Ovis aries: one gene and its partners. The protein of the gene in region 5 interacts with the protein of the main gene of each other region in a pairwise test. Links are inferred from orthologs where the notes say so. Each region holds a gene or a part of one and is shown on either strand. Other genes may lie near its edges. The genes, in order: AQP5, STX8, ABHD16A, HMOX1, CREB3, MS4A1 and FAM3C.

Region 1 (4,544 bases), on a different chromosome or scaffold from region 5:
ACGCCACTGCTGCAAGCCGCATTCAACTCTTTGCGACGGTATGGACTGTAGCCCGCAAGGCTTCTCTGTCAATGGGATTCTGCAGGCAAGAATACTGGAGTGGGCTGCCGTGTCCTCCTCCAGGGGATCTTCCCAACCCAGGGATCGAACCTGCAGTCTCTTACGTCTCCTGCATTGGCAGGCAGGTTCTTTACCACTGGCGTCACCTGGGAAGCCCACCAACCCCACCCTAAAGAGAGACAAATGAACCTTCAGAGGGAAGAGACATGGAGAACCTCAGAGAGATGAACACAGGGAGAGAGACAGACTCTGGAGAGAGACCATGAACTCTCAAAGGAGATGACAGACAGATTGTCCAGAGGGACAGACCCACAGGAAGGCAGACTCTCCCCAGTCCCCAACAGGGACAGATAAATAATACATCAGAGAGGACAGACACTTGGACCTCCCTGCCCCCTGCCACCCCAAAAGATGGAAACCAAATCCTCAGAGATCAACTCCAGAGCACAGGTGCCTTTCCCTTCCCTAGAGGGACAGACACGCATAGTCGCTGCCCCCCAAACAGGGTCCCCTGCCATCTAAATCTAGCCCTGGTTCTGGCTGCATCCCCTTCTCTCTCCAGTCACCCCCAAGCTCTGGGCCCCCATCATCCAGAAAGTCCTGTTAACTGTCAACTGCTAAGGCTGGGTTTCTAGGCACTCATTGCCAGGGAGACAGGGGAGGGTCCAGCCTTACCCAGTGTGCGGAGCTGAACCGACTCATGATCACTGCGGGACCGAAAGATCGGGCCGGGTTCATGGAGCAGCCCGTGAAGTAGATCTAGACAGAGAGAAGGAGGCCGTGAGGAGGGCAGCATGCCTGTCCACACTCACAAGGCCTGGACCCACGCTGGGGTCCCCTAGCAGTTCAGGGGCTCAGCCAGGCATCCAACTGTCCCCCGATTCCTAGCCTGGTGCCTTTCCCTTCACAGTTCCCTCTGGACCCTCCTCTCCTCTCTGTCCTGAGCTTGGGCTTGGTTCCTGCCCCCATCCCAACTCCCCCTCGCTCCTGTATTTTCTCACACTGGAGGGGATTGGGTCTGGGCCAGAGTCTAGCAGCTCCACTCTAGGTCTTCACTGGGGTGCTCGTTGATCCAGAAGGTGCTGCCCCAGGGCCCCATTATTTGCCCTGAGGGGCCAAATGGCGCCTTTGCTCACCCCCACTAGGTGGCCCAGTGTGACGGACAGGCCAATGGACAGGGCTGGGGAGCCCACTGGGCTGGTGCGGCGGGAGTCAGTGGAAGAGAAGACGCAGAGTGCCAGCTGGAAGGTCAGAATCATTTCCGCCACCACAGCCTGGCCCGCAGTCGTGTTGTTGTTGAGCTGCAAGGGGATGGTGTGTTAGGATCCCTGCTTTCTTCTGACTCTATGGCCAGGAACCCGCAGGGATGGGGGTCTTGGTCTCCAGGGACTCCTAGGGCCCAAGTGCCTGGAAGCCAAGCCCTGCCACTTCAGGGAGGTCATCTGCCAAAGAGACTATATACTCGCTAGTGCTCAGAAAGCTTGGAACGCAGAGCTGTGGCCAAAGTGACAAAGCTGGGGGACCTCTTCCTGGACACTGGCCCGTCACCAGTCTGCCCAGGCCCAACCCCCACAAGCTGGCATTTACCCTTCCTCCTGTGGGCAGCTGCCCAGTTTGCTTACTGCACCCCCCAAGCCCGCCTCCCGCCCGTGCCTGACCCACTGCCAGTTCCAAACCTCAAACCCGTCTCTCCGGTGGGGCTGACTCATGGTTTGACAATGGCCGAGAAAATCCTCCTCTGTGTTTGATTAATGAACCCAGTTTGCATGGGACAAGGGGGCTGAAACTGGAGTTCTAGGGATGGCGGGAAGGGGAGGGGTCCAGGAGCACAAAGCAATATTCATCAGAGACCATATGTACGGGCACCTGATTAGGGAGCCCACAAACCTGGCTTCTAAACATACCCCCCTGAGTCCCACTCTATGGAGGTCATGGCCATTCCCATGTAATGAGAATGAGAAAAACAAAACCCAGAGAGGTTGGGGTCACCAAAGCCAGGATCACAACCCATCTGTCACTGATGGTTCCATGAGACCACTCCACTGAGGACATCACAGGAGCGATGAGGTGCCCAGGAGGACAGAAGAGCTCGGAGGTAAGACAGGAGAAGAGAGGTAAGAAAAGGCAAACAGCAGGCACCAGGAGAGAGGCTGGGATGAGGCAGCGCGAGGTGGGTGGGCGGGCAGAGGAGGCGGATACCAACCGAGGAGCTGGCGGAGAGCACGCACCACCATGGAGATTCATCTTCCTGGCCTTAGGGTGCTATGACCTTCTTGGCAAAGGTGTTAGCTGGCTGGTCTACTCTGTGCCACCCATCCTGGAGATGGGGCTTGGGGACCAGGTCCAGAGCCCACCCCAGGGTCCCTGCCCCACAGCCAGCCCCCTGGGCACTCACCGCATTGACAGCCAGATTGCCTCGGGCATTGTACGGGGCCAGCCCATAGAGGATTGCGGCGCCAGCAATGGCGCCCACCAGCTGGGCCACCAGGTAGAAGACCGCCCGGAGCAGGGAGATCTGGTTACCGACCAGGAGGGCCAGCGTGATGGCGGGGTTCATGTGGCCACCGCTCACGGGCCCCAGGGCCTGGGCCATGGTACCTATGGCCAGCCCGAAGGCCAGCGAGATCTGCAGGACGCTGGGCATTGCCGACGGCCACTTGAGGGCCGAGCCGAGGCCGAAGAAGACGAAGATGAGGGTGGCCAGGAACTCTGCGAACACCGCCTTGAGGAAGGCTGCGGAGCACACCTCCTTCTTCATGGTGTCGAGGCAGCAGCCCCCGCAGGGGTCGCCCGTTTGGGCGGCAGCGGTGCAGGGGGTGGGGGGCTGGCTCGGGGGCGCCGCACAGTCTCGGGTGCCCGCGGCGTGGCTAGCGACGTGGCACGGGGCCTGCGGGGGCGCGCTATATACCAGGCAGGCGGCCCGCGGCGGGGCGGGCCCGGGGGGGCAGTGGGCGGCTCCCGCGCCCGGGGGCCAGCACCGCGCGCACGGAGGGCACTTCAGGGCCGCCGCGCCCCCGGCCCCGCGCGCCCCCCCGCCCGGGCAGCCGCACGCCCTCTGGGGCCACGTGACCCGGCCGGCGGTGTAGACCGGCCCGGCGGGCTGGGACCCGCGCATAGTGCGCTCCGGGCGGCTCCCGCGCTCCTACTCCACTGTCTGTCCCGGGCTCCCGGGGAGACTTTGCTGGCTCTGGGCTCTGCCGCTCTTCGGCCCTCCGGACGGGTGCCTCCGCTGAGCCTTGATCTCTGGCGTGGTCTTCCCCTTTTCTTCTCTCCGGGCGCTGGGTCCAGCTCCTCCTTTTCCTCCTGCGACCTGGGCATCCTGACCCGGCCTCATGCCCGGCCGGGCTGGAATGATGCGCTTCCCTGAGGACAGCGCCGCCGCCACCCAGCTCCCTGCGGGCCCGCGGTGGCGGGGGCGGGGGCGGACGGCCGGGCAGGGCCTTGCGGGGCGGTCAGGCCATCGCGGGCCTCTCCCTGACTCGGGCGGGGCAGACCTCCTGGATTGGAGCCGGGGCGTTTGGGATTAATGAGCCGGGGCGTTTGGGATTAATGAGCACCGTGCCAGCCTGCCCCGGACTTGGCCATCCTCGCATCCACTCTCTATTTCACCTTTGGTCATCTCTTTTACTCTCTGTGACTTTGTCAGTCTTTGCATCATTTTCCACGTCTGAATGTCTTACATGTGGTCTTTTTTAGTTCCCCCAAAGTCAAGTTCTCCCACCCGTGAACTGGGTAACACTTTCTTCCAGTCCTTCCCAGTCCCTCCTCTCCGCCGCCCCTTCTTCCCCCGACCCGCACCCCTCCCATCCTTCCCTCTTTCCTAATCCCCGGGTAGGTATGTGGGGAATGAGGCTGGAGGGCCCTTGAGAGCTTGGAAGAGGGGCAAAGACTGACCCCCGAGATTCCAGGAGTGGAGCTGCACTGAAGACGCCTCCACCGCTCCCATGCCCCATCTTTGGGAAGCACAGTCTGGTGCTTGGCACAGAGGCTCCAGTAAAGTTTCCTCACATGGTGACTGTAATTTTAAAAGCCTCCTGCAGAGGGAGGGAACAGGTGCTGTTCCGTCAGAGGGCTGAGGGGCGGGCTGGAGGAAAGTCAAGGACCTGGAGGAGGAACCTGGGCTCCATGGCAGCTAAGAAGCCAAAGAAAACAAGGGGGGAAGAAACCTTGCTATTGTTCCTGCTCTGCCCTGGTTTCCTGCGGGAGCTGCTCCTCCCCCAGGTCTCTCCTCTTAAGACAGGGGGCCATCTGCCCTGGGTCCTGTGGCCCTGATCCTGGCAGAGGGTGACAGGATCTTCATCTGGGCTTGGGGGCACAGGGGTCTGTGGGCCTGGTACAGACCGGTGCAGACTGGAACAATGACATTCGTGACCCCAGAGGCCTTTGAGGACTAAGCTCTGTCACCTCTGTCTTGCCTCCAGTCTACCCCCTTCCATCCTTTTTTTCGCTCTCTCTCTTCAAGGCACTGCTCTCATAAATCCACA
Region 2 (4,613 bases), on a different chromosome or scaffold from region 5:
TGAAGAACAAGATGGCAGAAAGGAGTTGAAGTTAGTTTCTGCAGAGTCTTGAGTAGCATAATAATAAGGTTTGAAGGGAATTTGAGAACTGTGGGGTATACTTTTACAGAGAAACTGAGGCCTTGAAGAGGTTATGTGAAACGCTTACGGCCAAAACCCCAGTTGCCTTGCTCCTAATCCTTGGTTCTCACATGAGCTCTACAAACTGGTTCTGAAGTTCTTCTATACATGTGGATCACTGTCTGGTCTGCAAGTCCTCAGTTGTGTCCAACTCTTTTGTGACCCCATGGGTTGTAGCTTGCCAGGCTCCTCTGTCCATGGGATTTCCCGGCAATAATACTGGAATGGGTTGCCCTTTCCTTCTCCAGGGGATCTTCCCACCCAGGGATCCAAGCTGCATCTCCGGCATCAGCAGGCAGATTCTTTACCACTGAAGTACCTTGGAAACCCCCTGAATCACTGGGGACGTGTTTTAAAGCTTCCTCATACCCCAAGTATTCTGATTGAATTGGCAGGGGCCTTGCCCTAGACGTGAGGAGTTGTAAAGCTCCCCGGGAGATTCCAATCTATAGCACAGCTTGAGAACCACTGGCCTAGTGGTAATGGGCAACCTGACGATGGAATCAAACACACAGGCGCCTAAAGTGCTAGTTTAGGAAAAGTAACCTGAACTCCATGTACACAAATCATTGGGAATGAAAGAAGAGTAAAGGAGACCAGTAGAAGACTTCTCCAGCTATTCAGCTCCATAACTAGCCACCAACATTTACTTCTGTAAACCATAAGGCTATAAAGGATTGGACAACAGCAGAAGAGAAAAAAATAAAAATCATGGAGATGAGTCAATAATCTGACAGGACGAATGAAGAAAAAGTAGATAACTAGAGTTTTTTAGGTTTAAGAGACTAAGAGGATGGTGACGCCATGACAGAGGCTGAGGAACTGGAATGGAGAGCGAAAAAGTGATAAAGCTGATTAACTTTTAGCAAAGAGCCTGTTCAGAGACAGTCACCATGCGATATTTCTATCACACAGTGAGCTTACCATTTGCTTTGATATGCCATTAAAAGAGTAACAGTCATATTCTACTTCCAAACATGAGTAAAGCATCACTGACATGATTCTCGATCGCAGGAGGGCGAAGCTGTAATCAAGTCTGTTTTTCTAGATTTTTCTAAGTCCTATTCCCTACTCCTTTCTGCTCTCCTGATCAGCAGCCCACTTTTCAAGGAAGTTGACTGAGCACAGCAGAGTCCCCCAGTGTCTCACTTTCAACAAACATGAGAAAGCTGCTAAGTTAAACTTCTTCAGAGTAGCAGGAGAAATTATCAGTGCTTTTTGCACGTTAACCAAGGAAGAGGCCTAGGGGCTTGGGGATAGTTTCCACCCATCTAAATGGATACCCTGGGACCTCTACCTTATTTCTGAGCTATATATCCTACCTTATGTGTAAAATGAGGGAATTAGCCTCCATGAAGTGGAGGGCAACGCAGCCATCTGTATCAAGGGCCTTAAAGATGTTCATACTCTTGGACCCAGTAGCTCCACTTCTAGGAAGCAAGTCAAAGAAGTGAGAGATGGTACCAAGGGGCAATTAAAAAAAATAAAAGCAAAAAAAACCGTAGTGTTTTTTAAAAAGGTACAAAGGGACAATGATTAAATCACACTCCATCATGGTTATTCACATGATACACTATTAAGCAACATAAAGATTGTGTTTTCAGGGAATATTTGCGATACAGAGAAATGGTCTCTGTTTCTATAAAATACATTATATACACACATATATTACACAAAGTAAAAAATTCATTTAAAAAGTCAACAGCAATTATTCCAGATGATAGAATTAAGGATGTTTCTTTTTTCTTTTTTTCCCTCTGCAAATATTCAGTATTTTCTAAATTTTTCTATCAGGGTGTTAAAATCAGGTGAAAAAAAAATAGTATGGAATCAGTTAAGCCATTGGTCCAGACAATCCAGATCCTAGGTAGATTAACTTTGATCTTGCAAAGTTAATCTATTAATATCCAGACTGTCTGCAAATTAACTATAAACTATGTTAGAAGTACTAATGTGAGACATATTCTCCAAAAAGAACTTTGTAGAGCTAGACGGTTTTTAATTAGTAAACGAAAAGCTCAAGTGAATATGCTATTGCAGTAGGTTCCTTGGATCGGAATTTGTGCCTTTCATCATTCAGTCCTAGGGACTTTACTGTTGAATAAAAGACTCTTCTCAGCTACTGTTTTACTGCATAAGTTGCTGCTGTAGACAGTCTTCATGATACTGAGGTGAGGACAAAATACCTTATCAACAACAGGCATAATTTCCTTCCCAGATTCCTGTAAGTTTTCTTTGAAGGGCGCACAAGATCTAGACCCCAGCGTCAACTGGTTACTAACTCGCTTACTCCCGTGAATTCTGAACCTCGGTTTCGCTACCGGCGAAATAAGGAAATTGACCAGAGGGACTTGGGTTCCACCAAAAAGGTTACTCTGTACTTCACTTTCACAGGAGTCCCGCATCAGCCAGCTCCACCACCAGGATGGAGATGCGGCTCAGAGATTCGGCGCTGGAACTCCTCCAAGTGTACACCGCGTCTCCCACCCCAGCCACCCCTGCAGGACCGAGAGTGGCGGCGGGATGCGACGGAGCGCAGCCCCTCAACCCCCGGCTCTCGGCGGCAGCAGAAGGATCCCTGCTCCCCCACCCCTCATTCTGAAAGGCCCCCGGCCCCAATGCCTAGCGATCACCCGCTCCCCGGAAGCCTGGCCTCCCCCGAGACCGTCCGCGCGCTGCCGCCCTCACCCGGGGCTCACCAGGGGTCCGGGGCCATGGTGCAGTCTCCGCCCGCAGCTCGGACACTTCCTGCTCGCAGCAGCTGACTACGGCGGCCCGCGCGGCTCACACCCTGCGGCTCGACCCGTGCGCGCCCGGAACTCGTAGTTTGCAATATACATACCCTAAGGCCTCCAATCTATTGATATGAGAAAAAGGAAAGCGCTTCCCCGGGGACTGAGGGCTGGACCAGTTTGCGTCCTAAGAGACGCGAACAGCTGGGTGCAATTAAAATAAAATTGTTTTCGAGCAAAATCCCATCATTTTCCCCGGAAGGTGGGAGCCCCTTAAGACCTCTAGCAGTTATTTAACATTTTATTCTGCTTAAAACAAAGAAAAAAAACTGGATTGTGGTGATAATTGCACAATTGTATAAATTTACTAAAACTCAATTTAAATAAATTTTAGGATATGTAATTTATACCTCAATAGTTTGTTTGTTTGTTTTATCCTGCTTCAAGGGACCCAAAGAAGTGTCAATTATATATTATAGCAGCCTTGCCAGCAGAGGCACTTAACTTTGTCTAATTTTTAAATGCCATCAAGTATTTGATTATATCGTTACCCAAAAGGTCACAGACTCTTTACATGGGGGAGGAGGGAATTAGTCTGTCCATTTCGTGCCCCTTAAATTTCCAGAGAAATACTAGAAAATTTAAAAAGAAAAAAAAAAAAATGCCCTCTCGATTTTCGCGAGGGCAAAAGGACTCGGACTCCGTAGGCCGGCTTTCAGCGCGACCGCGGATCTAGCGCGCATGCGCAAGTCCGTTACCATAACGACCAGAAGACGCTGCACCTTCTGTAGGCTGAGAGGAAAGTGAGCGGAGTCTCCAGATGATGGAGACCCAAACTTCGCCCAAGGATGAGGTGGCTGAGGCAGTAGAGCTGGAGCTTGAGGCCGTGATCGGATTCAATGGTGAGACCTCGAGCGTGTCTGGGCTGGGTGGTTTAGGGACCCCAAGGACAGTGTGGTGCAACCAGGGAGAGTGAGACACCAGGTGGCACCTGGAAGGCAGCTTGGGACGCTGGCATGAGTCAAGCACTGGGGACCCAGACAGCCTCTCCTCCCCAAAGATCTTAGAATCATGTCCTCGCTCCAGGCCTTAAAGAATGGGATGGGTTTTGCAAACGTCTGAAAGGAACCAAATGCCCCCTCACTAGGCCATAAGGATAAAAAAAATGCTATCTGAAACCGTTCTCGCACTGGCCAGCTCTCCCCTGGCTCTAAGCCCCACACAGCCAGCAAAACTGCCTGCGCCTCAGTATTGGGTTACAGAATACGTGTAGGTCCCTGGGAACAAGTAACCTCTAAAATCCCAGCTGATACACTAATAAGAAGGGGCTGGAGGGAGTGGGGAATTTGTGTTTTGAGCAACCGCTTTAGGGGATGATTTGTCTTCTAACCAGAAGGAAGGTGAGGATTTCAGACCATGATGGACACCAGGGGGGGATGGACCGGAGAGGTGCTTTGGTCAGAGGGGCCTGGTTCTGACTTATGACCACCTCCTATCTGGAACATGAAGAGGGGAAATGCTGTTTGGGTTTTGAGAAGGATGAAAACAAGCAATGGATTGCATTTTAGAAAAAGCCAGCTTTTAAAGAAAGTGCATTGTGATGCCTGAAAGCTTTAAAATTGTAGTAATGTAGACACAGAACAATCAATACCTAAAGCTTTAGCACATTCTAGGACTTGGCTCTTGAGTCTTCTCTTCGTTTTATGTTAACGGTCTCTGATAGAAATCGAGCACTTAGTACACCCTAGTACTGGCCATCTT
Region 3 (4,381 bases), on a different chromosome or scaffold from region 5:
GAAAGAGAACAAAGCCGCCTCCCACCAGGGGTCCTCCCCAGCCTGTTCTCTCCCCATTCCCAGGTAATCACTCTCCCTAATTTTGACTTTTAAGACAGTCATGCCTGTGTTTCTCTTCCGTGTTGTGCCACTTATTTATGCATCCCTTGGAACTTCATGTAAATGGAAACATAGTGCATAAATTATCTGGTGGTCCCCGTTGCATCTGTGAGATTCATCTGTGTAGCTGAGTGTAACCAGTTCGTCCAGTGCCTTGCTCTCTGGTGTTCTGGGTTAGGACTTGACCTTCTAACATATTTATCCATCCTGCTATGTGGGGTCATGGAGTCCAGTGTAGGATTATTACAAACATACATAGATATGTATGGAACTGTCGGAGGGTATGTGCAGCTTTTCTAGATAATAGCAAACCTTTTTGCTAAGTATTTGTTCATACTTATGACTCAAGCCCTTTAAGGAAAAGATCATGTCTTGACCACTGATTACTTCCCCTCAGGGCCTAGCACCAAATGGTATTTGCAGAAGGTATTTAATGAATATTTACCCAGTGATGGACAGATCCAAACCAGGCTCCCTCTCCACCTACCTCGGAGGCAGGCCACTCCCGCCAGCAGTAGAAGCAGTGTCCCAGCATAGTGAGAAAATGGCACCACTTTGGACAAACTCAAGTAACCTGGGAGGGGAGAAGGATTATGTGAAAAGCTTTTCCACTGGCCCCCAGCCCCTCTGCCAAGTTCAGTCCCAACCTCCCCACCACACCCTCTTTGGGGGACAGCAGGCCCTCAGAGGGAGAAGATGCCTGATGGAAGAGGGAAGCCAAGCCATCCTCATCCCAGGTCCCCTTTCCTCATTGGGGAATCGGCTCAGCTGCCAATGATCTGCCCATTTCCTGTCCCATCACCTTTGAAGTCACACTGACCTTTCCTGTACAAGTAGAAGAAGGCGAAGGGAGAGGAGTAGTAAGAGATGGACCAGAAGACTGAAGCCTGCAGCAGAGAGACAGGGACAAGCAATCAATACACACACACACAGGTCTGCCATTACCGGGTCTAGGCTCTGAGCAAAGTGAATAACCTGAGGGATATCACATCAAGTACCTATTCTGTGCATGACCCCACGCACACAGAAGGTGCTCAATTATTTGCTGAAAGGTAGTGTGTCAGAGCGTTAACAGAGGCTGGGAAAACTTGGCACGGCTTCTATTGTCTTCCTCTCATCATCTCTGGACATAATTTCATCACACGTAAAGACCAGTCTCTTTCCACTCAAGGTAATCAAGCCTTTTCAATCAGCCCTGCTCAGGACAGTCCCTGGCCCGGTCCCTAAGAGATGCACAAATGTCACCAAAGGAACCTTGCCAGAGAGAACAGCTGTCTCTGCAGCCAAAGAGGTTAGTTGCCAGGGAGGACAGGTCACTGGGGACTGCAGGACTCAGCACCTGCGGATGGTCCCGAAAGTAAACACGGTTTCCGCAACGGTTCACGCTGCCCCAGAGAAAGCCGTGCATAGGCCAAAGGGGAGTACCAAGTATGCACGCTGGAGAGCTGTCTGGGTGTATGTGTGTTGGAGATGCCTGCTGCAGAGCCCAGAGCATCCCCCACCCCTAGGGGTACTGCCTTCTCCCAGGATGGGAAGGAGAAGGTTCAAGAGGGCAATTGGATCTGAAAAGATGCGGTAGTCCCAGATGCCAGGGCAGACATACCAGTGCCAGGATGCTGTCAGCATGTTTCTCGAGGGCACGGGGCTGATAGTACGTATCCTGCCAAAACAGATGGCCGAATTAAGGACCCTGCTCCTTGACAAGGCCTCCACCATCCCTTTTGGAAGGCCTGATGTGTGTTCTCCAACACTCTAGTCCTAGCTCCCAAAATCATCTCTCCTGGGACGTCTTTGCTTCCCCTCTTCCCCACCCTGACTCATAACCTGATCTCTCACTCCAGATCCTGAGAACAAACACAGGGGCCTGGACTTGGAAGCAAAAGTGAAAGCAGCTTTGGCCGACTTTTGCTCCTTTTCCACAAACGAGTTTCAAATGGGTGGTGGGCGGATGGGGATCGGGGTTAGGGAAGAAACGACACCATGACAACTTTAAGAGGAAAAGAAAAGCATCGGAAGCGCAGATTCATTAAGGAAGAGAATGTGGCTGGGGGTGGGCAGTTTGTAGAGTACAATGGACATAATTTGAGACTACCGATAAAAAGGAGGAGCGCATTTAGGGGCACTGCCTACCACCTCACCGGCTTTCTTGAACACAATGATCCTGAGGTCTCTAAGGTAGACTAGAGGTGGGGTGGGGGAGACCGGATATATTAAATGTTGCAGAAGTCATTTTGAAATTCAAGGCCAGGGGAGATAAACGGAACCGGGTGAGGCACGGGGTACGAGGAAATTGAGAGTTTGAAGGCAAAATCATCCAGCTCCGGAATCCGAGCGGGTTCTCTTCCAGGATTTAGGAGTCAATTGGGAATGGCATGAACCACGAAGAGCAGGGTGAGGGGTCGCGAAAGGAAAAAGCTAGGAGTGGCAGTCGGAATGAGAAAGCACTGGCAAACAGCAGTAAAGCAGGCGGTCAGTCCACAGGCGCGACTTTAACCCAGGAAGCACAAAGAGCACAGACTTTGCGGAAAACTGGCTTGACAAGCAGTCTCTCCCGACTTCCAATAATGGGTGCTTCTGGGGAGCAAAGGCCGCAAAGGGGTTTGGGCCGTACTATTTTTTTAACCAGGGGAGAATCGACTCACCCAGGAGCTGGAGTGAGGGTTAGTGACTGAAGTTGGAGTCCCAGGGACGCTGGACGGGGCCCTTTCAGAGTCCCTTTCCCGGTAGATTTTGTAGAGCCGGGGGCCTAGGACGCAGCTCAGCAGCTTCGCCATGGCCCCGGCCCGGGCCGCTGCTCTTCCAGCAGCAGGTCCCCCTGTCAGCCCCGCCCTCCCAGGGCCGCTAAGGTGTTGCGTGCCCTTGACGTCAGCACGTACCGGCTCCGCCTCGCGCCCAGTTGAGACAGTTTCAGCGCTTCTTGAGTAGGGTTTCCTGCATTCGGAGCTACGGGTGCAGCAGTGGTCAGAAATTAGCTGCAGGCGTTTGGATTGTGGAGAGTTAGAACTATCATGAGACATGGTTAAGTCACTTTTTTCTGCCCCTTAATATTGGCAGACTCTCGAGCGACAGTGGGAAAAAGGGGTAAGATTAGCGTTTGAAAAGAGCAACAAAAATATCTAGGAATACATCTAAGAAAAGAAATGCAAGATGTTAGGAACAAATTACAAAAATTACTGAAAGAGGTAAGCGAAGGCTTGAATAAATAGCTACGCCATGGTTATGAATAGGAAGATTCAGTATCGTTAAGATGTGTGAAACACTGGTTAAAAACAAAAGGATGAATTATCGCACTTAAGCGTGAACAATTCTCAGAACCATAATTACATACAAGATGACACCATAGTATGAAGTTAAAAAACACATAAAATTCAATGATCAATTATGTGAAAGATAAAGAGCAAATGTATAACACTGTTACACAGCGTAGAGGATCGTTGGCTGAAAGGGTAATATTCTATTTCTCAAAAGGTATGCTGTTTTTTTTTCTTTGTACCTTACACCTACATAATATATAAACCCTTTAGCTTTTCATTGTAGTAAACACATATACAGAAAGGTGCACTAATTAAATATATCTGTGAGTCTGATTCATAGATAAATTCATTTGTCATGTAAGTGATGTCATACGGTACTTGTCTTTCTGACTTACTTCTTCTGGGCTTCCCAGGTGGCGCTAGTGGTAAAGAATTCGCCTGCCAATTCAGGAGACTTAAGCAACATGGATGGGGAAGATACCCTCAAGGAGGGAGTGGCAACCCACTCCAGTATTTTTCCCTGGAGAATCCTATGGACAGAGGAGCCTAGTGGATGACAGTCTATAGGGTCACAAAGAGTTGGACACGACTGAAGTGACTTAGCATGATGCATGCTTATTTCATTTAGTGTGATAATCTCTAGATCCTTCCATGGGTAACCACTATTTTAATTTAACTTCAGACGTTACTTTTGCCTGTTTTTGAACTTTATACAGGTGCTCCCCAAGTGCTTCAGTGGTAAGGAATCCCCTGTCAATGAAGGAGATGCAGGTTTGATCCCTGGGTCAGGTCATGTTGGACTCTTTTCGACTCCATGGACTGTAGCCCGCCAGGCTTCTCCATCCATGGGATTTTCCAGGCAAGAATACTGGAGTGGATTGCCATTTCCTTTTCCAGGGGATCTTCCCCACCCAGGAATTGAACCTGGGTCTCTCACATTGCAGGCAGACTCTTTACCATCTGAGCCACCAGGGAAGCCCCGGGTCAGGGAGATCCTCTGGAGAAGGAATTGGCACCCCACTCCAGTA
Region 4 (3,257 bases), on a different chromosome or scaffold from region 5:
CAGAAATTCAGTGCCTGGGTGGTGACTAACCCAGAGGTCACACGGAAAGGGCCAGCCCTCCCATGGGGCTCTGGCTCCAGAGCGCCTGTTCTTTCTACACCACCTTTCTGAAAGATACAGCTTTTCTTAGAAGAGTGACCAGGTGTGCTGGGTTTTTAGTGGTATGCAAAGGACGCACATTGCTCAATAGCAAGTGCTATGACCAATCTCTTCTGGGATCCCAGGCTGGGAATAAGGAGCCAGGAAAGCATAAACTAAGAGCCCAGTTCCCACAGGGCCTCCAGATAGGAGGAGAGCGACAGAATTCTACAACATCAGGGTTAGAAGGAATCTCACCCCCACTGGGAACACCCACCCTGGCTCTGCCTAAGAGATCACCTTTCAAGGCAAAACCCATCTTCCCCTGGATTTGAGACACTTGTAGAAAGAACAGATCACGCCTCCTGGCTGGGCTGAGAGGCCCAGATGGCGGAGGCCAGGTCTGCAGCATCCGTGAACCCTGCAGTGCCAACCTGGCTACATATGAGCACACAGCCTACTTGTATGTCGTCACAGGGAGTTGTCACAGAGTGCCACAATGGTGATGCTCACATCGTACAATAACCGTAGCTAACTGCCCACATCCGCTGATCATCGAAAAAGCAAGAGAGTGCCAGAAAACATCTATTTCTGCTTTATTGACTATGCCAAAGCCTTTGATTGTGTGGCTCACAAGAAACTGTGGAAAATTCTGAAAGAGATGGGAATACCAGACCACCTGACCTGTCTCTTGAGAAACCTGTATGCAGGTCAAGAAGCAACAGTTAGAACTGGACATGGAACAACACACTGGTTCCAAATAGGAAAAGGAGTACGTCAAGGCTGTATATTGTCACCCTGCTTATTTAACTTATATGCAGAGTAGAGTACATCACGAGAAACGCTGGACTGGAAGAAACACAAGCTGGAATCAAGATTGCTGGGAGAAATATCAATAACCTCAGATATGCAGATGACACCACCCTTATGGCAGAAAGTGAAGAGGAACTAAAAAGCCTCTTGATGAAAGTGAAAGAGGAGAGTGAAAAAGTTGGCTTGAAGCTCAACATTCAGAAAACTAAGATCATGGCATCTGGTCCCATCACTTCATGGGAAATAGATGGGAAAACAGTGGAAACAGTGTCAGACTTTATGTTTTTGGGCTCCAAAATCACTGCAGATGGTGACTGCAGCCATGAAATTAAAAGACGCTTACTCCTTAGAAGGAAAGTTATGACCAACCTAGATAGCATATTGAAAAGCAGAGATATTACTTTGCCAACAAAGGTCCGTCTAGTCAAGGCTATGGTTTTTCCAGTGGTCATGTATGGTTGTGAGAGTTGGACTGTGAAGAAAGCTAAGCGCCGAAGAATTGATGCTTTTGAACTGTGGTGTTGGAGAAGACTCTTGAAAGTCCCATGGACTGCAAGGAGATCCAACCAGTCCATCCTAAAGGAGATCAGTCCTGGGTGTTCATTGGAAGGAATGATGCTGAAGCTGAAACTCCAATACTTTGGACACCTCATGCGAACAACTGACTCACTGGAAAAGACCCTGATGCTGGGAGGGACTGGGGGCAGGAGGAGAAGGGTCAACAGAGGATGAGATGGCTGGATGGCATCACCGACTCGCTGGACATGAGTTTGAGTGAACTCCCGGAGTTGGTGATGGACAGGGAGGCCTGGCGTGCTGTGATTCATGGGGTCGCAAAGAGTCAGACACAACTGAGCAACTGAACTGAACTGAATGTTCGAGGGCTGACCCTGTAACATGTCCTGCTTTGGGGACTTGATTGATTTAAGCAGTCACAACAACTCTGTGAGCTAAGTGCTATTATATCCCCATTTTACAGATAGGGAAACTGAAGTACAAAGTGATTAAGATAAAGATTTGCCTAAGATCACCCCACCAGGTAAGTGACAGAACTGGAACCCTGGACCCCAAGCCCCTGCCCTTAACCATGACCGCTGACGCCCCCCGCCCCCAACCCTGCGAGAAATGTCCCTGGAAGAGCAGCTGGAGGCAGGGTGGCCACGCAGCACAGCCCAGACCCTCACCTGGATGTTGAGCAGGAAGGCGGTCTTGGCCTCGTCCAGGACCCTCTGCCGGACCTCGGGGGTCATCTCCAGCGTGTTCATGCGGGAGCGGTACAGCTGCTTGAACTTGGTGGCGCTGGCGATATTGGGGAAAGTGAAGAAGGCCAGGCCCTCCCCAGAGCTGGGCAGGTTCAGGGCCTTCTGAGCAATCTTCTTGAGAACTTGGCCCCCAGACAGGTCGCCCAGGTAGCGGGTGTAGGCATGGGCCACCAGCAGTTCGGGCTCGGCGCGCCCCACCTCCTGGAGTCGCTGAACATAGCACTTGGTGGCCTGTGTGTAGGGGATGGCCTCCTGCCAGCGGGGCCCGTACCAGAAGGCCATGTCCTGCTCCAGGGCGGCCCGGCGGTGCAGCTCCTCTGGGAAGTAGAGGGGAGTATAGACGGGGTTCTCCTTGTTGCGTTCGATCTCCTCCTCCAGGGCCACGTAGATGTGGTACAAAGATGCCATCACCAGCTGAAACCAGAGCAAGTAGGTGGTTATCAGAGCACCCAGCCCCTTCGCACTATCGCCTTCAGAGTCATCCTTGTCACCTCCCCAGGCTGGGCTCCCACCTCCTGCCAGCCCCTCCAATCCTCCCCACGTGGCAGCCAGAGAAAGTGTCACAGGAGAAAATTTTCATCGTGCACTGTCTGAGCCTAAAAACCTTTTATTACACTGGAAAAAATACGAATCCTCATTTCATCCTTGGAAAAATCTAACAAAGGAATGGCTATGCCCATTTTACAGAAAAGACACTAAGGCTCAGAGAGGGTATGAGACACAGAAGTCACAAAGCTAGTAAGAAACAGAAATGGAGCCAAGCACAGGCATGGCTTTCTGGAGAAAGTAAGTGAATGAAAGTGCTTACAGGAGATGCCAGGCACCTCTCCCTGGCTTTTGACTTCTGGGGATCCATCTGCAGGGCACAGCTCTCCCCAGAAGACCCCTCTGAACCCCATCACCTCTGAAAGCTGGGCTGGGGGACAGACAGCCCAGTGCCCCTTGGCTCGGGTAACTCCCATTACACATTAATTTTCTAGTTTTGAGTTAGAAAGAGGACAAAGTTTAGATGTTCCGGCTGAGGTTTTCAGGTGATTTCTGAACCTTTAATCATTCATGGGAGCACTGTCTCTCACCAGGGCAGAAACCCAGGCAGCCTGGTAC
Region 5 (4,416 bases):
ACTGGACTAGGCTGTGTCCTCTCTGCCTAGAATGCTCCCCACCCCCATCCCAGAATCATATCTTCTATCAAATGCCATCTGCCACATGAGGTCTTACTCCCTCTCTTCCTCCTTGATACTTATACTTGTGAATTTATTCCCCATTACTGTGAGCTTCATGGAATCAGAGACCCACTAAAGACCAAGCATCAGACATATGTGAGAGATGCCCGGTGACAAATCAAATATGGAGCAGGAGAAAGACTGAGACAGTAGTAAGCGGGAGGGATGAGCAAACCCTGATGTGAAAGAGCTGCTTACAGATTCTGTTCCTCCAGGAGCTGTACTTTGTTCTGTAGCTCCAGATTCTGGGCTGTGTATTTCAGGACCCTGGAGGAATAACAGGGATGTGGGGACATGGCCTGTATCCTCCCTTCAAAAACCTCACACTTCCAATTACCTGTTTCTCCCACCCCCGAGTCCAGCTCCCTTTCATACCTGCTTTCTAAACCCCCCACATACACCTTCTTCTTCCTACGGCTCTCTTGAGCAGACTTTTTGTTTCGAATCTTCCTCCGCACTCGTTTCAGGACTTGTTCCTCCATCTGGGAGAAGACAGGAAAAGGGATCCCATCAGAGGAACATTAGACCAAAGAGTTTGAAGGCAACCGAGTTCAATCTTCTCAAAGCAGAGATTCCTTCTACAATTTCCCTGACCAATAGGCACTCTGCTTCTGTCTGAATGCTTCTGTCCTCACAAGCCAAACCATTGTAACAATTTTGTTAGATAATTTTTTTTTAAAACCTTCCTTATGAGCCAACATCTGCCTTTGTTATTTCTACCTGTTGGACTTACCTAGCACCTAATCTCTGGGGCCATAATAGAACAAAGGTCTTCAGCTATTTTAAAGCACTTGGCATTTCTTCAGAGTTAAAAAAAAAAAAAAAAACTGGGCAAAAATTTTAACTCATCATCTTATCTCTTCTCAGGATGGACTGCATCTTCTTAATATCTGTCAAAGATAATAGGCTCAAAACTTAAGAAGCTTTTTGGCCAATGTAAAAGAAAACAAGATAGTTACTGCCCTTCTAGTGGCAACACTATTAGATAACTGGTATCTGATGATACAACTGGGCTTCCCCAGTGCCTCAGCAGTAAAGAATCTGCCTACAATGCAGGCGACTCAGGAAACACAGGTTCCATCCCTGGGTTGGGATGATCCCCTGGAGAAGGAAATTGCAACGTACTCCAGTATTCTTGTCTGGGAAATCCCATGGACAGAGGAGTTTGGGGGCCATAGTCCATGGAATTACAAAGAGTTGGACACGACTTAGCGACCAAACAACAACAACTAAATCTGATGATACAGCTTCTAAACCCCATTCTCTTCCTTAGTAGCCATATCACACTGTTGACTCAACTTGTACTTTTTTTTGGCCACACCTCGCACTTGTGGAATCTCAGTTCCCAGACCAGGGGATTGCACCCTGGTGCAGACCAGGATTGCACCCTGACCCTGAGCAGTGAAAGCACAGAGTCCTAACCACTGGATTGCCAGGGGATTGCCTCAACTTATATTTTTGAGAAATTAAAATTGTTAACCTTTCTGTTAACAGACATTGATTTCATCATAGTATCACAATACTGTGCATGTGAAACTGCCTCTCATTGCTTGAAACTCCAAATTTCACATTTACTCTTGTTATACTACTTAATTGTTATACTACTTGTTATACTACTCTAATACTTGATTTACTATTCAGCTACAAGTAAATTGCATGAAACCAGTGAAATATAAGTATCAGAGCCCCGCGCTTGTACAGTACTTTCCAAATCCCTTTACTAATATTACCCTGATAATTTTGAATTCTTAGTTAAAAAGAACACCAAAATTTATAAAAGCACTACAAACCAGGATCTGTCCTTGCAAGCAGTATACTAACCACATGCCCCAGCTTCCTACTCAAAAATGTGCTAATCTCTCACCTCAATTCTTTTTCAAGTTACTGATACAAAATTAACAGAACTGGCCTACTTGGAACTCACAACCCCCGTCCCCGCGATGGGAGACTTACCTTAGTGAGTGGAAGCATCCCAGGCAAAGTAAGCCCCTCCTTCTCCAACAGCCTTTTCTCCTCCTCAGTCAGTATCAGCCTAGCAATCTCCTGCGGTTCCGGAGAGATGGGCAGCAGAGTTGCAAAGGGATTTCAGAAAGTAACGCGGAATACTGCCCCGACCCGCGCAATACGGAAATAACCCTCCTATAAGTCAAGTACCTGATCTGCCGGCTCCTCCACACACAGTGGAGTCATCTGAGTCCCCTCTTTTCCATAGCTCTCATTATCTGCAAAAGGGAAAATATGAGTAGTCAGGCCTCGGAGTCCTCTCCTTTCCCAAACTTCACTTATTTCAGGCTTACCTAGATCTATGGAGACATGCTCTTGTGAGAGAGAATAGGTGTGGTCATGCTGGACAAGACAGGAGTTAGAGCTGCTGAAAACGTTCAACGATGATGGGGGACTCGGCAGGCAGCTCAGGAAATCCTCCACGTCCCAATCGCTCAGAGACTGCACAGGGTTCAAATTGACAGGCTTTGACCATCACCACCCCCTGCCTCAGGGACACCCCTACCCCGCCCACAAACCCGCCTCACGCCTCCCCGACTCAGAGCCCCCCACTCGCCTCAGAAAGTGGCAGCTCCCAATCCGGCGGAGACGCCAAGGCCTCGTCGGGCGCCGCACCCAAACCACCGCTTTCCTCTAGCAGAAAGCCTAGCAGGTCACGGTCACCCGGGTCCAACGCCAGCTCCATATGAGACATTTATGGAAAAGATGCGCAGAAACACAGGAGTTCACCTCGCCACCCGGACCCTATCCCCAACCAGGCGTAACCGCGACGGACTGTCAGTCGGCCCCACCTATCGGCTCTTCAGCGGCGTTTTCCTCCTAGCTGCTGGCGAAGGCTCTGAAACCGGGACACGCCTTCCAGACTCCACTCCCCGCTAGACTTCCAACAGAACACAAGTGACGCACCTACCCGCGAGGCATGCCGGGAGTTGGAGTCCCCCACCCCACCCCGACGCGGAGGCTGCCGCTGTACGCGCCACGTCCAGGGCGCGATGCAAATAGAGGGGACGTGCCTTCCGCCTCCGCAGTCCCTGAGGGCGGGCATTCTGAGGAAGCGGCTCCGCCCCGGGCTAGAAAAAGGAAGGATTACAGCCTAAAAGGGAACTAGGGCGCAGTTCTGGCGCTTCCTCGGGACTGCACCGCACCCTCGCTTCCGGCTGGGGAGGGGCTGCCGGTCGTCAGCGGGCTCCCGAGCATCGAGAGCTGGGGCCAGAGCAGCTTCCTGCAGTGCCCGCGACCATAGAGCGCGGGCCCAGGGCGCCGCCCGCGGGTGGGGGACGTTCCCGGGACGGAAGTGGCCGAGAGTGTCGAAGGGAGGGCGAGGCCGCAGCCCGAGAGCCACCGGGAGAACGAGCGGGTTAGCGGGCCGGCGGGCGGGGCACAGAGCCGGGCAGCGCAGGTAGGCCGGACCGGGCGAACTGGGGCCTCAGGGTGGGGCCGCGACACCAGGCCTGGGAGGCGGGCGGGCAGGGCCCCTGACTTCTGCGTCTGTTTCGGGTCATCTTGGAGAGGTTCGCGTCCGGTGTATCTCTGCTTGTGCTCTGAGTTAAATAGGCAGTTTTTCGGCAGCCAGGCCCTTCCTGGAGCAGTCCTCGGCCTAGGATAGTTTAGAGGGAGGGTGAGGAGTGGGTGGCAGTGTGACGCAGGGCGGGGATCGGCTTTGAGGTTAGCTGATAGCGGGTACGTGAGCAGGAATGGGTGAGTTGGAGATTAGGTGGAGTTGGGTTTTAGGAGTTAAGGTTAGCTTTAGGAGTGTGCAGCTGGGGTTAAAATTTAGATTTATTAGTGTGAGGTGCGTTTTGTGTAGGTGAGGTTTGGATTAAGGGCATTATTTTGTTTTCTATAACGACCAACATTAGAGTTCAGGTTAAGGGTCAACAACAGAAACTAAGTTAGAAGTCCAGATTTAGGGATTAGAGAAGGTTAGCATAGCCAGTACAGGGGATAAACAAGAAAGGGGTGAATCAGGAATCAAGTGACAAATGAACTTTAGGTTTAGGGATGAAGATTCAGGGTTAAAGGTCCAGAGTTGATGCTACAGGTAAAAATTAGATCAAAATTAGGGATCAGGGATTGGATTCAGGTATGTGGTAGGACAGGGATGCCTGTCAAATCCAGTACTGGGAATCAGGAGACAAATTATGGTCAGCATTAATGTTAGAAATTTCAGGCAGTTTTCTGTGCTGTAGTTGAGGTCAGGGTAGTTGACCTCAGGCAGGTGAAATTTAAGAGACTGGCAGTAGGTAGATGCCCTTGTTTTGTGGGGAAGGCTTCTTTGGCCCAGGGAAATGACAGACTAATTTCAGGCTA
Region 6 (3,859 bases), on a different chromosome or scaffold from region 5:
TGTGACTCCAAGGGTCTTCCAGGGCCCTTGTTTCCAGCGGGGACAGCAGATGCTGCTCTGATGTGTGGGAAAGGAGGGCGTGCGCTACTTGCCATGCTCTGCGTGGAGTTCTTCTCCGCTGCTGCCAGCAGTGATCCAGAAATGATGTGCTGTACACAAGAGAGGTGGTGGGAGGGGAGGGGTGGGGAGAGATGGGAGAAGCAGCGGGGAGAGGGGCAGAGGGGAAGATCACCTTTTAATGCGGAGAAGCAACTGTGAAAAAGCTGTCCACCCTTTCAACCACTTTCCCTGCGCTATTCAGCCCTTTTTAATGGCTTCATTCATTTTTCAGCACATCTTTCTCCACTATTCAGGCCCAACCACATTAAATCCTTGCCTTTCATTCAACCAGCTGGGGATCTGTGACTAGGCATTTAGTAAAACCAGAGGCAGAACTCACATTTCCATGTCAATTAGTTCTCACACAGTGAACTTAAAAGCTTTATTTTTAGCTTTCCATTAAAAAAAAAAATTGAGGGAATGGTTCTTTGGAGTTCACAGTGCTTTAATGACTGATGGCAATGATGAGTGGACTGCCGTAGAAGACGCACGTGGCCTGCCTGGAGCAGGCGCTCTGCTAAAATGTGGGCAGCTACAGGAAGTGACCATTGTTTCCCGTCTTCCTTTTACTCTTTAAGCTGTGAAATGGGGGAAACTCTGGCTCTAATCGATCTCTTCTTGCCCTGAAAATTTCAGTCCTGAGCCTGTCTTCACAGCTCATCTACGAAAGTGTAGTGGGGATAGAGACGTCGCTGCCTCACGCCTCATCCACACAGGGCTTCAGGCTTGGAAACTGCACGTGAGGCAGCCGTGGGGATTACTGCCCCACTGGCAGGCGAGGGGGACTCACTCGGCACGCGACTGTCTCACCACATGAGACAGGAACTGAAGAGAATCCTCGGGAAGAAGGGCCAGGTGGGAGCAGCTGCGATGCCCCCACCCACTCTTGCTTTCTGAAACACCAACCCTCAAGTCTAGGACCCACCCAGCTCCACCCCAGCCGCTGAGTTTGGAGAGGTCGTGCTTGGAGCGGTCTTCCCTCACTGTGGACATCCACGTCGGGCCGCTTTCTCTGAATTCCCAAGAAGCATGACCACTGACTCAACCACGAGACTCGGGCTCAACTCAGACTCTTTTTCCTTTAAATCACTTCAACCAGACAACCTGTTCCCCAGTCCTATGCTTTCCTCAACACACAGGTGATCTGGTACATTCCCATGGAGCTTCTTTGAACATTTGTGTATCACTCCCTCAAAAGGTTACTAGGCTTTACTCACCACGATGCCTCCCCAGAGAGGGTACCACAAGGTTACACAGATGGGCATGTAGACGTCCGCGTGGATCAGCATGAGGCTGCCCAGGGCAATGTGGAACAGCCCGTTCATGATCTGGACGGCCTGGGGGGAGGAGAGGGGCGCTGGTGGTGGGACTGAAATCGGAGAGTCAGGAAGCAGGAGGGGGCCTGGAAGCCTTGACTCCTGAGCGGAAGGGCGGCGTGAGATGTCCAGAGCCAGCGCTACAGGGCCCAAGACCTCTGTGGTCTTCAGGGGCAGCGTGAGATGTCCAGAGCCCGCGCTAAAGGGCCCAAGACCTCTGTCGTCTTCAGGCCCACTTCCCCCACCCCCCGGCACTCCCAAGGCAGGTGCGCTGGGACGCGGGTGATGAGCTGGGGTGCAGGCCCCTAACTGTGCCAGTCTAAGGCACAGGGCAGGGGGGCATAAGCGGCAGCCATCTCTTCGCGTCCCTGGTTTGATCCTCCCCCCTCGCCCCGCCCCCCCCCCCCACCCCGGCCATGTCAGACATAAAGAACACCTCATGTTGGATCCAATACCTTTAAGTCAGGTTGGATCCTGTGCCTGGCCCATAGCAGCTGCTTCTAGAGGCCAGGGAGTCCCTAGGGTGTGGAGTGCAGGGCGACTGACTTACCCCCAGAGCCTTCGCCTCCCTCATGAAGAAGCTCTGTGTGGGGCCCACCACCGTGGGCGCCCTCCTGGGGACCCCTTTCTGAGCAGCGTGCATAGCGGGGGGGCCTTTCAGGGGCTCTGCTGGGAAAGCTCCAACCACTGAATTCCTGGGAGTCGTCATCTCACCCTCAGACTCCTGAGGATAAATGATAAGATGAGAGGAAACAGGATTGTCAGCCAACCTCTACCTTGTCATGGATCTGAATGGTTTCCCCTGTGTTCTCTGCACGGTGTCACTGAAGGCAGTCAGGGCCTCTTCCTACTGGCTTTGGATCGAGGCAAGGCCTCCCTCCACGTTCTGAGACAGGGTCTGGGGGAGCATCTCAGACAAAGCACGACACGTGGAGTATTTCCTGCCTGGTCAGTGACTGAGGATGGCAGAGTCAGCAGTGATTCTGGCCCTGCAGTGTGAATTTCTGAGCTCTAAGGGCACCCATTAAAAGAGGCTTGCTCCTTGGAAGAAAAGTTATGACCAACCTAGACAGCATTTTAAAAAGCAGAGACATTACTTTGCCAACAAAAGTCCATCTAGCCAAGGCTATGATTTTTCCAGTGGTCATGTATGGATGTCAGAGTTGGTCCATAAGGAAAGCTGAGCGCCGAAGAACCGATGCTTTTGAACTTTGGTGTCAGAGAAGACTCTTATGAGTCCCTTGGACAACAAGGAGATTCAACCAGTCCATTCTAAAGGAGATCAGTCCTGAATATTCATTGGAAGCACCGATGCTAAAGCTGAAACTCCAGTACTTTGGCCACCTCATGCGAAGAGTTGACTCATTGGAAAAGACTCTGATGCTGGGAGGGATTGGGAGCAGGAGGAGAAGGGGACGACAGAGGATGAGATGGCTGGATGGCATCCCTGACGCAATGGACATGAGTTTGAGCCAGCTCCAGGATATGGTGAAGGCCCGGGAGGCCTGGCGTGCTGCAGTCCATGGGATCAGACATGACTGAGCGGCTGAACAATAGGAAAGGAAAGATTTCTGGGAGCCCAGACTCTTACATCTTCCATACACAGAAAAGCACCGGGTCCCCTAACTTGGAAGGTCTGATTTCCTTTAATTAACAGTAACACCTTGATGTTCAGGCTAGCTGCCTTTTGTTTCAAAACTTCTGAATGACCTGGTGCCTTCCCAGGCGCCTTCCCTCAGCTCTTCAGGGCAGTTCTCTCAGGATTCCTTGAGATGCTGCCTCCTGGGCTTAAGTCCTACAAATTTCTGCCAAATAAAAGGACATTCTCAACTTTTAGGCTGTGACTGTTTTTTAAATGTACAGGGATCTGGCTCAGGGGTCCCTGCCAGTGTTCTCGACACCCACACGAGGGTCATGGTTTTGCTCTGTGGAGAGTGTCACGCTCGCTAACTCGTGGGTTCTGTGCGTCTGTCAGCCTTGGATGCTTTTCTTGTGCTTTAACATAAGAAAATGTATTTTTCACGGGCTTGTCCTCGTCCCTTAGCTTATCTGCTTTTGTCCGTGGTGATGGGCCAGAGTCACCATGAGCAGATGGACGGGTGGAAGATGGTGACGACTGTGCCTGCAGTCAGGAGGGGCTGGTACAGTCTGCCCTGCTCCCACTCACTCTGCAGTCTTGAGCGCATCGCCTCAGGGAGGTTCTCGAAGGTTCTGTGTAAGACGGTGGCCTCCTGAGTCGCACATCAGACTGCCTAGGTTTAGATCAAGACTTCCCTGTTTGCTGTGAAACATTGGGAAAGTTCTGCAAACTCTGGGCCTCAAGTCCTTCAGCCATAACACGAGGACAGTGATAATTCCTGTCTCATACAGTCGCTGTAAGACTTAAATGGCCGTATGGCGTGTGTGCCTCAGCCGGGGGCCGCTCAGACCTCAGCGTCTGGAAG
Region 7 (4,411 bases), on a different chromosome or scaffold from region 5:
GAGTCTGTTATACAGAGTGAAGTCAGAAAGAAAAACACCAATACAGTATATTAACACATATTCATGGAATTTAGAAAGATGGTAATGATGACCCTATATGTGAGACAGCAAAGAGATACAGATGTAAAGAACAGACTTTTGGACTCTGTGGGATACGGCGAGGGTGGGATGATTTGAGAGAATAGCATTGAAACATGTATATTACCATATGTGAAAGAGATCGTTCAGTCCAGGTTCGATGCATGAGACAGGGTGCTCAGGGCTGACCTGACATGGTGCACTGGGATGACCCTGAGGAATGGGATGGGGAGGGAGGTGGGAGGAGGGTTCAGGATGGGGAACACATGTATACCCATGGCTGATTCATGTCAGTGTATGGTTAAGAACCACTACAAAATTGTAATTAGCCTCCAATTAAATAAATTATTTTAAAAAAAGATGTGATGACCTCCCAATACTATGAACGCACTAAATGTCACAGAATTGTACACTTAAAAATAGTAAATTTTATGTTACATAGATTAATTTTTAAAGGCAACTGAAAAACTCACCAGAGTGAAGCTAGAAAAATAAAGAACAAATGAAAATTAATTAGATTGGAAATAAGGGAGATATAAGTAATAAAAATAGCTTGAATCAAATGAACAGGCCAGTGAAGAAGACAATGGAAGAATACTGATGGGGTGAAACTGTGGAAACTTAGAGGTAGTGGAACATAATTTTCTCCCCTGAGAAAATATCAGCTGACTCTATTTTAAGAGCAGAATAAAATTCACAAAACCTTTTCAAGTTTAAAGAGCTTGGGAGTCATGTGCAATCACCCCAATCAGATTAAGGAAATTAGGCAAAATATGATATTAAATAAATTGGTCAATGCCCTCTATTGGGCAATGAACTAATTGCAGAATTACTGCTTAAAATCCCAATTTTCTGATCCCAGGTTCAGGAACTCTTCTGGACTAAGTTTAAGACAAATGTTTGCTATTTACTAAATTCTCAGCTAGATGCATTTCTGTGATACATAAGACCAAAATCTCTTACTTCTTAGGTCTTGGACCTTTCAGCTCTGAGAAAGGAGTTATAAAAGTAAGGAGTCGGGGGTGGGGGAAGACTCACTACCTCAGAGAAAGTACAGTAGCTTTGAGAGCCAAGGCTGCCTTATTCACAGTATCCATGTTACCTATAATTACCAGCAGGCACAAATAAGTACTCTGGTATGTCTAATTATGAATATACAAGTTTTCAAATACTGAGGCTGACCATTTAAGACTTAAAATATGTGGTTAAATAAAAGTTAAGACTCTTCTGATGCCCCACAAGGACTACATATCACCATTCAACAACAATCTCTTTATCCTCTGACATTCTCTCCAATGATCTTTTCCTTTTTAAGGTATCTTCTTTAATTACAAAAAGATTTAGTTACTTAGTAATTATTTTTAAAATTGTAACAGCTATTAAGTTTATTTAAAACGTCACTTTAACCTAGTGGCCCTCAGTCTTACTTTGACTCCCTTTTAAACAGAAGATCCCTCCATTGGGGTCTTGGGGAGGAACCTGACTTGTGTCCTTTTTTGAAGTCTCATTTATAGGTGATTCTGAGAGATCCCCTGGGAGAGTATCACTGCATCAAACTCTTTTTATTTCTTGCTATCAAGAAAAATGAGTTTAGATAACATTACACAGACTAAAGCTTCTCACACCTGTATAAAGTGGGGGGCGGGGCGGCAGAAACGCTGTGATTTAATTAGTAAACTGCCACAGAACTTGAGACTGGCAGCCTTTAAAAAGAGGTATAGTTAATGATATGGATATGACCACAACCAGATGCTGATTCTGCCAATCTCTTGCTGGTGCTAGTAACTTGAATTTTCTAAGTTAAATGGAGATCCCGTTGTACTCAATAATGCACTGCATGAATAACATTAAGGTCTCCCCAAAACCTATAAAATTTGACAGGATATCACTAGCCCTGAAAGGTAGTTAAGAGTTCAAGGGGTCTGGGATCTCCTGCTAGTCTCTATCTTTTTGAACCTAACCTCTAGGGGAGTTCATATTTTCTCAGTAAAATTGGGAAAATGCACATACTCTATGGGTCGTTAAGAAATAAATGTGCATCTGAAAGCAGCTGGCACAGCGCCTCGTAAGCAACTGTATTCATACTCTTTTTGGCCAAATAGAAAGAAACAAAGAAAAGGTTCTGTGAATTAAACAGTTTTGTATGATCAGAAATTTTTTTAAAAATGCAGAGAGTGATGAAAATAAAAAAAATTCAGCTGGAGATTGTCAGTCCATCACTCATTATTTAAGATCTAGGGTCACAAATTGTAACATATTGTAAAAACTGTGAGCTTAGCGGCAAACAAGTGGCAAAAAAAGAAAAGAAAAAAGAATAGTACGTCCATCCGTGATACTGAATACCAATGGGCTGGATAGGTTTAAAAAATAAAAAGTACCTCCAGCTCAGAAGACACTGAAACTTTACAACTGAGCCAAGATCGCCCTCCACAGAGTTCTAACGCAACATCCAACTCCATCCCCGCCCCTTTAGAGCACTCGGCCCGCATTTCCGACCCGAGCTGGAGACCGAGCGCTGGACGCGCGCCCCAGGTGCCAGCCCCAGGCCGGAGCGCCAGGTGCAGGCGCCGCCCCGCCCTCCGCGGAGCCCGGAGACTGGCCGCCCGGCTGGGGATGCCCGCGCGGGGCCGGCGGCCTGGACCCCCGGCCCGCCACGCTCCGGTGCCCCGCTCCCATCGCGCCCTGCCCCCGGCGGGACGCGCCCCGACCACCCCGGCACGCCCCGGGCCGGCGATCGCGGCGGGAGCGGAGGATGAAGGTGAAGGTGGGTGCCCGGCTCCCCCCCGCCTCCCTCAGACTCCCTGCCTTCGGCCGCGGCTCGGTCCGCCTCCCGGTCCGTCTCACCGGCCTCCAGCCCGCCTCTCCGCCGCGCGCGCCCGCTTTCCGGGCTCCCTGCGGTCAGTCTTGCAGAAGGCCGACGGGAGCCGCCGCCGCCGCCGCCGCCTCCGGTTCGCTCCTCCGCTTCCTCCTGGGTTCCTCCGGCTTCCCCTCACCCCTGCGACTGGCCAGAAGGAAGCCAGCTCGCCGCTGGGCCGCCTCCCCCGCTTCCCCGGCGCAACCAATGGGCCCCCGCCGCCGGCAAGCCGCGCCCGCCCCCTGGCGGTGGAGGACTGAGCTGGCGCCGTGCAGGCCCGAGGAAGGGCCGGATAGCCAAGGGAGGGCTCTGCGGCCCCGCCCCCTGTCCGCGCCGGGCTGTCTGGACCTGCCACGTGGGAGAGGAGGGGGCGGCGGCCGTCTGCACCCCAGAACAGGGCAGAAGTGTCACGGCCTCTCCCCGCGCTCCCTCGTCCGCCACCCTCTGCCTTCAGTCACACTTCCATAATCCCCGCCTTAAAGGAAGAAATTTTAAAATAATCAGTCCCATTTTAGAGCTCCATATTCGAGATGATCATTATATCCTCCTGACTCCTAAACTAGCTCACCTATGGCAAAGATACTACCTGACTGAGCAGCAGAACGCTGGTAACCTTAAATGTTGGACTCAAGGAGAAAGGCAGTTCTTGTATTTTGCACCTCACTTTCTTTTTTTCTTTTTTTTTCTTTTTTTTTTTTTGCTTTTTTAATTTAAATTTATTTATTTTGATTGGAGGCTAGTTACTTTACAATATTGTATTGGTTTTGCCATACATCAACATGAATCCGCCACGGGTGTACACATGTTCCCAATCCTGAAGCCCCCTCTCACCTCCCTCCTCATACCATCCCACTGGGTCATCCCAGTGCACCAGCCCCAAGCATCCTGTAATGTATTTAGCAACGTAACAGAAATGTTTTTCTCCTGTACACACGTTTTCACACGATCATGTGTTAACTGGGAGATCAAACCAAAAGCTGCAAATGCAAAATTGTTTCATAATTCTGATCCACATTCCAAAATAATTAATAACTATAATTCTTATTAGCAATATTAGGTAGAATATCAAGACAATACATGGTTGTAGAAATTAAATTGCATTAAAGAAATAATAGGGTTTAATCATAGTATTCTACCAAGTCAACATACCTGGAAAAATAGAAAATACCGAACTTAAATAATAGCTGTGAATTTGGAAGTGTGTGTTCTATGATAGGATAAAGAAGCAATAAATGCATTCTGAGAGCCTTCTTTGCTTGCACCTTGCTGGGCATTTGGGAATGTGTTCCCATTTAATGTTCCCAACTCAGACTGAAGTCGATAATAGCTGTGTTTTGCTTTAACTGATAAAAAAACCAAGACTCCAAAGTTGAGTTTAAATCACTTGTTTGAAAATATAAGGGAGTACGTTGTGAAGTTGGAATTCTAGCCTGGTCCATCTAGCTTCAAACAAATACGGCACTTCGTTTCTTATGATAC

What was found.
Region 1: the proteins of CREB3 (region 5) and AQP5 interact in a two-hybrid assay, tested with the Homo sapiens proteins (2 studies listed by BioGRID and IntAct). The two-hybrid records come from large-scale screens. The link is inferred for Ovis aries from reciprocal best matches to the Homo sapiens genes CREB3 and AQP5.
Region 2: the proteins of CREB3 (region 5) and STX8 interact in a two-hybrid assay, tested with the Homo sapiens proteins (3 studies listed by BioGRID and IntAct). The two-hybrid records come from large-scale screens. The link is inferred for Ovis aries from reciprocal best matches to the Homo sapiens genes CREB3 and STX8.
Region 3: the proteins of CREB3 (region 5) and ABHD16A interact in a two-hybrid assay, tested with the Homo sapiens proteins (2 studies listed by BioGRID and IntAct). The two-hybrid records come from large-scale screens. The link is inferred for Ovis aries from reciprocal best matches to the Homo sapiens genes CREB3 and ABHD16A.
Region 4: the proteins of CREB3 (region 5) and HMOX1 interact in a two-hybrid assay, tested with the Homo sapiens proteins (2 studies listed by BioGRID and IntAct). The two-hybrid records come from large-scale screens. The link is inferred for Ovis aries from reciprocal best matches to the Homo sapiens genes CREB3 and HMOX1.
Region 6: the proteins of CREB3 (region 5) and MS4A1 interact in a two-hybrid assay, tested with the Homo sapiens proteins (2 studies listed by BioGRID and IntAct). The two-hybrid records come from large-scale screens. The link is inferred for Ovis aries from reciprocal best matches to the Homo sapiens genes CREB3 and MS4A1.
Region 7: the proteins of CREB3 (region 5) and FAM3C interact in a two-hybrid assay, tested with the Homo sapiens proteins (2 studies listed by BioGRID and IntAct). The two-hybrid records come from large-scale screens. The link is inferred for Ovis aries from reciprocal best matches to the Homo sapiens genes CREB3 and FAM3C.

What each region holds. Positions count from the first base shown.
Region 1 is NC_056056.1:136,330,273-136,334,816, forward strand, and holds the start of AQP5 (aquaporin-5), read right to left. Parts: upstream 2,938-4,544; 5' UTR 2,819-2,937; coding exon 2,456-2,818; intron 1,362-2,455; coding exon 1,197-1,361; intron 820-1,196; coding exon 736-819; intron 1-735. UniProt on the Homo sapiens protein: Aquaporins form homotetrameric transmembrane channels, with each monomer independently mediating water transport across the plasma membrane along its osmotic gradient. Plays an important role in fluid secretion in salivary glands.
Region 2 is NC_056064.1:28,677,221-28,681,833, forward strand, and holds the start of STX8 (syntaxin-8), read right to left. Parts: upstream 2,849-4,613; 5' UTR 2,837-2,848; coding exon of another isoform or gene 2,820-2,836; intron 1,551-2,819; 5' UTR 1,526-1,550; coding exon 1,443-1,525; intron 1-1,442. Other genes in the region: CFAP52 (cilia- and flagella-associated protein 52), read left to right, coding at 3,673-3,754. UniProt on the Homo sapiens protein: Vesicle trafficking protein that functions in the early secretory pathway, possibly by mediating retrograde transport from cis-Golgi membranes to the ER.
Region 3 is NC_056073.1:26,686,750-26,691,130, reverse strand, and holds the start of ABHD16A (phosphatidylserine lipase ABHD16A), read right to left. Parts: upstream 2,874-4,381; coding exon 2,742-2,873; intron 1,760-2,741; coding exon 1,703-1,759; intron 987-1,702; coding exon 920-986; intron 674-919; coding exon 587-673; intron 1-586. UniProt on the Homo sapiens protein: Phosphatidylserine (PS) lipase that mediates the hydrolysis of phosphatidylserine to generate lysophosphatidylserine (LPS). LPS constitutes a class of signaling lipids that regulates immunological and neurological processes.
Region 4 is NC_056056.1:179,237,812-179,241,068, reverse strand, and holds part of HMOX1 (heme oxygenase 1), read right to left. Parts: intron 2,568-3,257; coding exon 2,076-2,567; intron 1-2,075.
Region 5 is NC_056055.1:52,808,282-52,812,697, forward strand, and holds the start of CREB3 (cyclic AMP-responsive element-binding protein 3), read right to left. Parts: upstream 2,947-4,416; 5' UTR 2,801-2,946; coding exon 2,663-2,800; intron 2,548-2,662; coding exon 2,400-2,547; intron 2,325-2,399; coding exon 2,257-2,324; intron 2,146-2,256; coding exon 2,056-2,145; intron 585-2,055; coding exon 478-584; intron 370-477; coding exon 301-369; intron 1-300. UniProt on the Homo sapiens protein: Endoplasmic reticulum (ER)-bound sequence-specific transcription factor that directly binds DNA and activates transcription. Plays a role in the unfolded protein response (UPR), promoting cell survival versus ER stress-induced apoptotic cell death.
Region 6 is NC_056068.1:81,834,147-81,838,005, reverse strand, and holds part of MS4A1 (B-lymphocyte antigen CD20), read right to left. Parts: intron 2,140-3,859; 5' UTR 2,125-2,139; coding exon 1,966-2,124; intron 1,437-1,965; coding exon 1,317-1,436; intron 150-1,316; coding exon 93-149; intron 1-92. UniProt on the Homo sapiens protein: B-lymphocyte-specific membrane protein that plays a role in the regulation of cellular calcium influx necessary for the development, differentiation, and activation of B-lymphocytes.
Region 7 is NC_056057.1:87,536,929-87,541,339, forward strand, and holds the start of FAM3C (protein FAM3C), read right to left. Parts: upstream 3,082-4,411; 5' UTR 2,923-3,081; exon of another isoform or gene 2,884-2,922; intron 1-2,883. UniProt on the Homo sapiens protein: May be involved in retinal laminar formation. Promotes epithelial to mesenchymal transition.